Drosophila melanogaster: one gene and its partner. The protein of the gene in region 2 interacts with the protein of the main gene of each other region in a biochemical or structural test. Each region holds a gene or a part of one and is shown on either strand. Other genes may lie near its edges.

The links.
Region 1: the proteins of step (region 2) and sstn interact in far-western blotting, tested with the Drosophila melanogaster proteins (2 studies listed by BioGRID).

The regions. Positions count from the first base shown.
Region 1 is NT_037436.4:15,090,270-15,096,827, reverse strand, and holds sstn (stepping stone), read left to right. Parts: upstream 1-2,108; 5' UTR 2,109-2,359; intron 2,360-2,479; 5' UTR 2,480-2,580; intron 2,581-3,503; 5' UTR 3,504-3,566; coding exon 3,567-5,474; 3' UTR 5,475-6,005; downstream 6,006-6,558. Other genes in the region: GlyRS (Glycyl-tRNA synthetase), read right to left, coding at 1-1,566.
Region 2 is NT_033779.5:21,754,357-21,759,659, forward strand, and holds the start of step (steppke), read right to left. Parts: upstream 3,111-5,303; 5' UTR 2,887-3,110; coding exon of another isoform or gene 2,808-2,886; intron 2,272-2,807; coding exon of another isoform or gene 2,198-2,271; intron 1-2,197. Other genes in the region: CG1416 (uncharacterized protein), read left to right, coding at 3,856-4,003, 4,086-4,722, 4,875-5,010.

The DNA of each region.
Region 1 (6,558 bases), on a different chromosome or scaffold from region 2:
TTTGGGAGCCGGCAGACGCTTCTCGGCCACCAAACGCACACCTGTGGCGGCCGTATGCTGTCCCAAATCGTAGGCACTGCGATCCGCACATCCTACGCACTCCACCCATCCGTAGGAGGTAAGAATTTCGGCATCCCAGCAATCGCATGCATAGTGAGCCATCTCATTGGACATGTGCTGCCGGAATCGCAAGCACTCCGGTTTGATACCAATGGCCAACAGGAACTGCTGAATGCGGGCCATATAGTAACCAAGTGTCTCATTAGCCACCAGTTTGGATGCCACTGCTTCGCCGATTTGCACCTGAGCGGCAGACTTTCCATCCATCTGGTTGCACGCCGAGTAAAGGGTCAACTTTTCCGATTTGATGTTGCCAAATTTGGGATGGTCCTTGAGCACGGGATCACAGAAATGTTCAATCTCTGCCATGGTGAACTCTCGCACACGGATCAATCCCGATCGGGGTGAGATTTCATTGCGGAAGGAGTTGCCAATTTGAGCCACAGCGAAGGGAAGCTTGCCTTGATTGAATTCCAGCAGTCGCTTGAAGTTGACGAAGATACCCTGGGCAGTTTCGGGCCGCAGGAATCCCTTGACCAAGCCAGTGGGTCCAATTTGGGTGGCAAACATCAGGTTGAACTCAATCGGTTCTGTTAAATCATTGCCGGTTAATGGAGATTTGATGTTGTATTTGGCCAGGACACCAGCCAATTCCTGTTTGTTCAGGCCATCCAGTTTAATGATAATATCCTCACACTCGGCCTGCAGGGCGGGAGTTGCATCCTTGGCCTTAGATAGCTTTTCCAAAGCCTGCTTAATGAGATGATCCAGGCGGAAGCACTCGCCGGTCTTGACATCCTTGACCATCAGATCAGCGAAACGCTCCACATGACCAGAGGCTTTGAGCACAGGTTCGGGAGTCAGAATAGAGCAGTCCACCTCCAGCATTTGCTCTTCGAGGGCGAAATACTGACGCCATAGGGCCAGAATGTTGGACTTGAGGGCACAGCCCATGGGTCCAAAATCGTACTGGCCGGTGATGCCGCCATAAATTGCGAAACTCTGGTCGTAGAAGAAGCGACGCTTGAGTAGATCCTCCATCTTCGCGCGATCGAAACTAACGACACTGGGGGTCAGGGCGAGCTCTTTGTCCTCCAGCAGCTTCTTGCGTGCCTTCAGCTCGGCTACTGCCTTTTTCACATCGATCTCGGGGGCACCCTTCGCCTTGAGATCCCTCACCAGGTTACCCTGCTCCTGAACTCGTTCCCTCAATGGGGCAAGTTGAGCCTCAATCTCGGGATTCGACATGATGAACTCGGCAGCGGCGGATCTTAGTTTTACCTTTCTATTTTGCTTCTTGGTGCCCCAACTTGTGGTTGCAGCTGGCTGCTGCGGTTGCGTTGGTGGAGGTGGTGGTGGTGCGGAGGGAGTAGGTTTTGTGGTAGTGGTGCTAAAAAACACTTTCGTGGCAATGTGCTCGCTCCACGTTGTTCTTGCAATCTGAGTTCTCACGGCTGTGGTGGCGCTGCGCAGGTGGGGTAGCGCTTTTAACAACTGCAATGACATAAAGAGGCTTTTATTTTTTCAGCCGAAAAACGCGAATTTATGTAATAAACCGTCCAATTGGCTACTGCTGCAATACCTTCACTTTCGGCTGCAATTTCGACTTGGATGAGTCTTAGTCGGCCGGCTTGCAGCACTGTCTTTGCACAACACTGATTATGGTTAACAGAGCTGCTCAGTGATGCGCAATGTTGCGACTTTGGTAAATGTTATTTGTTTTTATTGTTTTATATTTATTTTTTATTTGCTATATTTGGTAAATGTGTCTTGGATAGTTTGGTTTCAACATAGTTTCAACATATTCTTTCATCTTTACTTATAGTTGAATAAGCGATGGAATTATTATTTAATAATATTAAAAAATTAATTAAATTTAAAAACAATGCTCTGATAAAATTAAGGTATCCCAAAATCACTGTTACCGTGTCGGCAACATTGATCACTTGTCCCTAACAGGGCGGCTGATAATAACAGCACCTTATGATGTTTTTCAGCACTCCAGTACATCGATATCGGGTAGGGCCTTCTTCGTTATCGATATGTTTAGTTTTTGTTTTAATTATGTAGGCGCAGCATTGCAGTCTGGTTTTTCCCATATAATTTGCTCAATTTTGGTTTAGTTCGGCCGAACTCAAGTGCTGCCCAAACCAATTGCTCAAACGCGTAGCGCACAAATTGAAAAACAAGCGGTTAATGTGAAAAACAGGACGAGTTTAGTTGTTTTCTATCCGAGGGGACGCGGCGTTGCAACAACAGCGACGCTATGCGACCGCATTTCGAGCGATAAAACAGAAAGGTGTGCTTCTCTCTCCCTCTCTCGGCACTCTCTCACCTGAGCTGCTAATACAAATGTTGTTTTCCTGCCAATTTTCCGAAATCTTTATTGCAAACACTTAAAAAATTAACTCATTCACAGGCGCTGCCACACATAACGGTTGATGTTTGTTTTTACGACAACGCACACACACGTACACCGGCCAAAGAGGCAGCGGTCACAACAACAAAGGTCTTCGTTCGGTGAGTTGCGAGTTGTTTTTGTTTAACCGTTTTTCGTTCTTGACCTGTTTTTGTTGTTGTCTTGTTGTTTTCTTTTTTTTTATGAGTGGGCCAATCGATCTGTATAAAGTATGCATTATAATTTATTTATTAGTCATAAGCGTAGTTTGTTATTGTACGTGTATGTGTGCACACCATTTTACATCATTTAACATGCACAGTGGAGGTTCTTTAATTAGAAACCAACCCCCACGATGAAAATTATTAAGAATGCGGAGAAAAAACCAGTTTGGTTCCTCTCAGCGAGCATCCACTGTAGGCGCACTTAATTCAACGACTTTTGCACGTTTGATATTAAGTCATCGCCGGCCACGAAGGCCAAACTCAAGACTGTACGAAACAAAACCAAAAAAATGTTCAAAAACACGGACACAACAAACCTAACAACACCTCATCGGGATGCTCTATGTTTTGGGTTAAAGTTCTGGCCATTTTTTTGAGAGGGTTCGCTTCAAGGTTTACTGTGGTTGTGGTGCGTGATGAAACGGGTTGGAAATCGGAAGCAAACAAAAACTAAGTCTGTACATACAACAAAAAGCATTAATATCCTAATAAACTAGTGCACGTCTCTAATTCAAAATGCTAACTCTGAACGAAATCATCCAGGGGTATTCGACAGCTCTGATACAATAAGAATTTATACAGTATATTTGAAAATAATTCAGATAGTTTTCGTAGACTAACTAAGAAAAATCAGCTTCTGAGTTACAGACTCATTCTGTTATATTTTCTTTCTTGTTTCAAAATGTTAAAAAAAAAATGTAGCAAACAAAAATGGAATGGTTAAAGTTTTGTATCAGAGTGGGGTGAATACCCCAAAATAAACCCATAAATTACATAAAAACAAAGGAGGCGACTGATCGAAGACTGCTTGTCTTTTCTAGGATCCCCTGAAATACCAAAACCCGCACCAACAACCCACCAACGAAGCCGACGAACCACTGGCGATGCAATTGAAAGCGCCCAAGAGCAGAAATATGGCCAGTCTTAAAGATGAAGATCAGGCGGCAACTACAAGCAACTCTATGCACAATCTCAACAACAACAACAATACGAATAACATAAACAATAACCACAGCAGCAGTAGCAACAACAATAAAATCGAGGATGATCCAAAGGTTAGGAAGGAGAATCTGGAGGCTAGGAAACAGGCCTTGGAGCAGCGTCTTAGCGAAAAAAGCTGGCTGCTGCAGCAAATCCAGAAACAGGAGACCGCCATCATCAATGGCAACTACGAGCACATGACGGTCAATGAGTTTTTTGTCCAATTAGCACAACAGTACAAACATGAACAGCAGCTGCAAGCGTTGGCAAGGGAAAACAGCTCAATTCTGAGGAGAAAACAAAGTACAACGAGTCGGGAAAGTCGCGACAGCCAAATGACCATCAACAATAACAATCGACAGTCGGAAACGCTATCGAATCGCAGTTCAGAATATGACAATTACCAACCCTCCTCATCGGCGGGGGCGGGCGATATGCTGGTAATAGGCGTGGCCCAGCAGCAGGCGCAACAACAACCGCCTCTGGTGAAGAGTGCCCTGAAGAAGCGACCAACACCCACGCCGAGTCAAATGCAATATATGCGCCAGCAGCATCAGCAACAAGCTCATTTAGCAATGAACATGAACTACCAGAGATCACAGCCGGATGTCATATCCATGTACTCGGCGAATTCATCCAATGTAGCAACTTTAAGGCAACCGCCACAAGTGGCGCCCCAGCAGCAACCAATTATAGTGCAGTGCGATAAATATTACCTATCGCCCACGCATCAAAGTTACAATGAGGGCGGCTTTATTAAATCAAGTCAGAACATCAAGAAATATGTGTCCCCAATGGCATCGCCCAGTAATATCAGCTACGAGCAGCAGCAACAGCGTAATCCTTTACATCACCAGCGACAACTAGATGCTATATCCCTTGCGCCCAGCTATGTTTCCGTCGATATGGAAGCTGCCCAGCATCAGCAGCAATATCGATGGCGTTCCCAGTCACACATAGCGCCCTTAACTCCTCCACAATTGGGCATAATAGAGGTGAAATCGCACTCCAGCGATATGCTGGCGGTGCCTATGCCACCCAGCCGCTATCCGCCGCACGATGAGATCTCACTGTCATCCTCGTCCACGACCATTGAGAAGAAGCCCAAGCCCAAGCAGTGGCTGGAATCTTCGCTAGATGGGCCAGCTGTTATCAGGCAGATGGATTCACAGCCCCACAGTCCAGCTGGGAGTAGTAATGGGAGTAGTAATCCCGGCGCAGCTGCCATGGTTTCAAGTAAACCCCGCGCTAAGCTCTCCTCGCAGTCCATGTCGGTAGCGGGTCGTCACTATTCCATGTCCAACCAGCGACCGACTCCGAATTATCCCAGTGCCAGCTATGCGGTGAATACCAGTTCGAAAGCCCTGCTAAGTCAATCGACTTCGTATCTCAATGCAATGGAGCAAACTTTGGGGATATCGGTATCGTATCCGCTGGAACCTCTGGACATACCAGCACTGCGAAACTTACCACCCAAGCCAAGTCAAATGCAGCAGCCAACGCCGCCGCCCAGACCGCCACCCGCAAATCAGGCTCATACTCAGAACCAGAACCTAAGTCACAGTGGTAATGGCAGTTCAAGCGGACTTGCTCATGGGAATGCTGTCCAAACAGCGCTTGTGTCACCGCCAGTAACAGTGGCCACAGCCAGTTTATCGCCGGAAATTCGCATCGAGTCGCCCAAAAACATGACCGTAGTTCAGCAGGCCACTTTCCAGCCGTACAAGGAAGTGACGAAACCCTTCGAGATGTCCGATTTCTACAAATACTCCACCAAGTTTAAGCAAAAGGAGGGCGGAAATCCTAATTGACCTATAAGGTTGTACGGAATTCTCATGCACTTTCACCTTTTAATGTGATTAACTAAACTAATTTTGTAGCACTGAGAAACTACAAAGCAAAAGCAGCTCAAACTATTGGACTCCTTTCGAATTTTAAGTTCGTTAGCCAAATTATTTAGGATCAAGAAAATAACAATGCTCAAAAGATCTGCCAAATTGAAAACTGACGTATTGAAAGCAATTTATCGAACGACATTCAAATTTTGTATTGAATTTTTAAAGTACAAAAAACACAGGACAATATTATCCCCGAGGGGGACAGAAATCGCCTTACAACAGGATGCCTAGAAAATATGGAAATATTTTATATAGTTAACAGCATTTATAAACAAATAACTGACTAGCTAACTAATAAGTGTATAAAGGATATTTACCCTAATCGAATGATATTTTTATATGAATATACCGATTGGATACTGATATATTCACCGAGTTTTCTTAAGACTAACTACCGACAAGCAATAACAAATAGATAAAAATAAATATTTTATATTAAAATATATGCGAGTGCGTTTTTATTGATATTTAAGCATTCAAATATTTCGTTGAACTTCCAATATTTTTCTCAAAACATTATTAATGCTCTTGTAGCATTTCAGATTTTTTGAATAATTGAAATGAAAAGAAAGCTTTATATTTCCCTAGCCTATAAATAAATGTCTCATTTATACCCATAAATGTGTTCTCACTTCCTTAAATCATTCCTTATCGAATATATCTTGTAGTTCCTTAATCTCTGGTTAAAACTTATTTATAGAACAACCGATAAAACTTAATTACTTTCCTCCCCTTTATCTCTCGGATTTCTCTTTGTTTCTCTCGCGATCTGGTAGTAGTACATTGAATTCTCTCTTTTGGACTCTCCCCAACTCAATGCCACTGCAACAAATTTTGTTTACGATTGATTATTTTTAAACAATCTCTTGTTGTGCTTCACTGAGCATTACAGTATCTGGATGGGGAGAAAAAGAGCGTGGATATCCCCCGATACCCCAAAAATATAAAGACTCTTCGCAATGGATTTGGTTCTCAGTTGCATCGCGCTCGCTATTAC
Region 2 (5,303 bases):
TTTAATGCACTATCAGCTATGAGTCACACAAATCAAAGTAATTAGAAAATATTTGATTACCTCACAATTTCCCAACACCTTCCCATGGTATACAAAAATAATAGTAAATACAATAATAAACATAAAAAAAATATACAGAATTGTGATTTTTGTTGATTTCAGTCAGAAGACCGCAACGCAGTGAAGAAGACATTTGCGTATTTTTCTTTCGAAATTTCTGTGCACACAAACGACGCATTCAAAGTGTAAACACCAAACATATCATTGCAATCCATTAGTTTAAAGCCTTTGATTACAAATATACCAATTATTTTAAATGGGATAAAACCAGTTTTAATGGCATAAATTCTTTAAAATATATGTCTATATACATATCATTGAAACATGCACAGTTGTATATACTTTACATATATGTAGTACAATATACTTGCTTTAGTATGTCCTTTTACTCTACGATTAAGGGGTTTAAATACTTTTATTATTCTTCTGTCTGGTTTTAAATATCCATTCTATAAATTCTATAAAAAAATAGGTAATTTTGCGCTGAGCTAAAAATTATAACTCCAGGTAGTCGGGGAACAGAAGAGTGAAAGGTAGGGGACGATGTGTCAATTGCATATCCAGGTAGACATAATAAAGCCCGATAGTTAGGAAAAAAAAGCAACGGAAATTCGGGGGAATCAGAAAAAATATGAGATTTCCATTTCGGTGCAGATGTGCATACGAAAATTTTGACCGATAACAACACATGATCCTTACACTAAAAGTAGTTCAACATTATTAAGGTAGATACATTTTTTAAATTAAAGTTATCAATAAATAAAAGCCCTTTAACTAGGACTTGTACTAGCAAAATATTAATATTTTTATTAATTTCAGCAAACGTTTATTTTAACAATTGATAATTAAATTGGTAGTATCGTACCACACACAAATTTATAATTGACTTTTTAGCACACTCACCTTTGCGTTTTCTCACAATCTAACGATACAAGCATTTGCACATATCAGCACAATGACAAAACGGCAATTGTTAAAAATCCAATAAATAAAAATTCGTTCACTTTAGATCACGACTCGAAGAACCACAATTACAGCACGCGAAAAAATCTCCAGTTCGCTGTTGGAAGACAGCAGTTTTACTATTCTGGTGAACCGATCGTCACAGGAGCGATGACTTGAATATTCTGAGGGAATTCCGGAGGGACAGTTTGTTTCGACTGAACAAACATTTTCTTTTTATTTTATTTGTATATTCGGAATTCGAGTGAATAATTCAGTTCAAATTCAGATTTGGTAATTGAAACATTATGTCTTGACAAGACTTTAAATACACTACCAAAATTATCACTTGTAATGGGGCTGGTGAGTGGTAATTTTAACCACAAAAAATATTAAAATCCTAGCAAGTATTTTTGGATTTTTTTTATAGAAAGACACCAGAGAAAGCCTATATGGCGTTTAACAACTCATTTTCAAATGCTTTATTTCAATCGTAGATCGTGCGGGTTAAAACCATGGTCATTGTATTCAGGTATGATATGATATGAGCACTAAAATATATATTTCTTTTAAAAAAGTTGTTGAACATAAAGAAGTCTTAACAAAGTGAAAACTAGTCACGATCGCAACACGAACATAAATAGCTAAACTTGCCACTAGCCGCCAGATCACAAATCTTCCCGCATTAAGGAGTTAAAAAACAACCTAAGTAGAAAAAAAAACCAAATTGGTCTGGCTTATAGGTATTCATAAAATTTTATAAATACATATAAATGCACATATGCTACTCAACAACATAAAAATCGACTCTCTTGCCCACTATCTCTCTTCTTAATGTTTTTATTGTATTTTTTTTTGGGATATTTACTTTCGATTATTTGCTAAATTAATTCTTAGCACCAACAATAATTTTACCATCATTTTTATTATCGGTTTATTAAAATTTATATATTTTAAGATTAATCGTTCATATAAAAAAATTCAGAGCCCGTCAAGCCCTCCCTACAAAGGCTCTGGAATAAGTCTAGTGTCTTTGCTCCCTCTCTGTCAAATCACCTAAAAAGAAGCTGGCAAAAACTCCAGACAAAAAGACATCACGAAATTGTTTTTCTGTATACTACAAGTGTATACGAATATGTTCTTAAATCGTTGTTTCCAAAATTAAAAATGTATGTATATATTGATGGTCAATTACCTGTATTTCGAGTAAAAGTTCCTGCTTCTTGCGTCGCAGCTCAATCAGCAGTTTTTGCTGCTCCGGTGTAAGTTCTGCAAGAACGAGATGCGAATCAATAATAAATTCATATACTTGTTTCTGGGCATTTTGTAAATTGTATCGCAACACCAACAGTAAAAATAAAAAACACCAGAGCAGCATTCCAGGCACACGCGCCCAACACACATACACACGTGCATACACGAGCTGTTTGCGATGCGATGAAAGCATCTTGTAGGCTACGTCACTAGCTTAGGCCGATAAACAATTTTCACTTGTCGAAACCACAATGGATTGCTAATTGTGCAAATTGGCTTATTAGCGTTACCAAAGCTCTTCGGACTTAATTCTGACGAAGGCCAAAAACGAGAACGCAATGTACATATGTACATAATATACATACATATGTGCACTAACATTTCACCTAGCACACAAGTCTATACATACAAATGTTGCTTGTTGCTTCTCTTATTTTGTAGTTGTGGGTATCCCAATTTGTGATCTTAATAAAATTTTATCAATACAAAGATTCGTATTCTGTTCATGCTAGGCTATATCCTTCGGGCCAGCAAAAGTATCTGCTGTTTACCTGGCATTGAGAATTCACTGCGCCCCTTTGATATGGCACCGTACGATCTGTTGTCGAAATTGTCCATTGCGCTAATCATCGCGGAGCTACTGAGCTACTACACACACTCTCGCGCACACGACACACACTCTAGTTGTACATTTTTCACCAGCAGTTGGCTAATTTTTAAGGCTTTTCATTGAACAATCAAAGACGAACGGATAATAAACAAATCAACACCAAAAAAATTCTATCGCCATTTTCTTTCAGCTCTCCACTAGGGATGTGCTGAATTCAGCTATCGGTTGAGTAAACAACTGAAAAATAACAAGTGCATGCTGACTTAAGCTGGGTGTTACGCGAGCTCTGTGTGGCCACTTTTAAAATATCCTGATGCCACTGCATCTTGTAACCAAACGTAAGAACTTTTTAATCAGTAGAACTAAAAAAATTAGGGCTAATTATTTACTTGCAACAATACATTAAATATTTTTAGGGGTACACTTTTTCAGAGATTAGAGCAGACCTTATCTATTTCAAGACAAATAGCTTGAAAAGCTGTAAAACAACTTTGTTACATCCATTATGGTGTGATTTGCGGGAATCGGCTATTACCATTTCGAAAATTGTTTGTTACAAGTTAAAAACATAAACTTAAAGTTTTGGACGTACATAAAAATATAACATTAAAACAACCTTGTTATAAAAAAATACAATACCACCAATACTTACTGTCCATTTTAAATCTGTTAAAAAATTCACTGAACGAATACGTCTTTCGTCATAACTCCATTTAAAATATCGTCAGGAAATTTACACATCATTTCGTTTTTTTAACGGCACAAACACCTCGGACTTGGTGGCAACGCTGCCAACATATGTGTGCACTGGCATCGATAATTTTTACATCCCTATTTTGAACCGCAGAATTCTAGAAAATTCCACTCGCTGGCCATAGTAATTGTCCGAATTAGTTTAAGCTAAGACTGCCGGATCAAAAGTAAACCAACATCTTCCATCTTTTCATAAAATTGAAGACAGTTTCATACAATTCTACAGTAAGAAAGCGATGGCCAAGTGGGGAGAAGGAGATCCGCGCTGGATTGTGGAGGAGCGGCCCGACGCCACCAACGTGAACAACTGGCACTGGACGGAAAAGAACGCCACGCCATGGTCCAAGGACCGCCTGCATCAGCTTTTTCAGGATTTCAAAATAGGCGAGTATATAAGAATTTGTAGTAGTGTAGAACATACATTTTAGGTATATCCTAACCTAAAAGTAAACTTCTCAAAACGCAGGGCAAAGCGACATTGAGTGTGCCGTGGACTCCGTGGACAAATGCTCCGGGGAGGCCACCGTGAACAATCGCAAGGGCAAGCTCATATTTTTCTACGAGTGGGAGCTGGTGCTCAAGTGGTCTGGAAAGCTCCTAAAGAACAGCAAGCTGATCCACAAGGGCAAGTTAACCATTCCCAATCTCTCCGAGGAGAACGAACTAGCCGACGTAGAGATCACGGTGACAATCGACGAGTCCAACGACGAGTCGGAGACCCTGAAACAGTTCATGTACAACGTGGGACGAGACCGCGTGCGGCAGCAACTGGCTTCCTACATCCGAGAGTTGAAGGAGGAGTACTCCAAGAACCTTATCCTACCAAAGAAGGGCGACGAGGCCGGAGCGGGAAATACTGTGGCGAATTTTAAGGATGCCAACAATACCCGTAATGCAGCCCAAAATATCGCTTTAAACTCCTCGGTGGCGGCTCCTAGGCTGAAGAACTCTGGCATCGGCTGTAAACTGGACGTTCGCACTCTCTCGATGACCGAAGAATTTCACTGCAGCGCCAATGACCTTTACAACGCTCTCACAAAGCCAGAAATGGTCACTGCCTTTACGAGGGCACCTGCCAAAGTAGATGCCGTGCGCGGTGGAGAGTAAGTTTTTGTCCCTGGTCGTTTTATTTTACCATCACATCAGGACCGTTTGTGTCGTCATTTAGTAATCTTGTTATGAATAACCATAAATTTCGCCCCTCGCCCTTGTCTTCACTTCTTTATGGTAAGTAATCTTTTGTCTTTTATTGTAGATTTATTCTTTACGGAGGCAATGTGCTCGGAAAATTCGAAGAGCTCGTCCCTGAAAAAAAAATACAGCAGAGCTGGCGTCTGAAAAACTGGACATCTGGTCACTACTCAAACGTTGTCATAGAGCTGGAAGAAACTGTAAGTTACTAGGACAACGAAAACTAGATATATTATTATTTATTTTTTTAAATTGACCCGCTTAGTGATCCTGATTAACAATATACGATATAATTTTCAAAGAATGTAGTACTCCTTATCAGTCAATAAATAACGCGTATAAGACCATATTCCTACGGGCCTCTAAATTCGAAATATTTACAAAATTTTATGTGCACAAAGAAAATAGTAATATGAAAAAAAAATAACTTTGTGATTTGTCTATTTATTATTTATTGGTTAAGAAAAAAATTAAATTCGTTACAATACGTCGG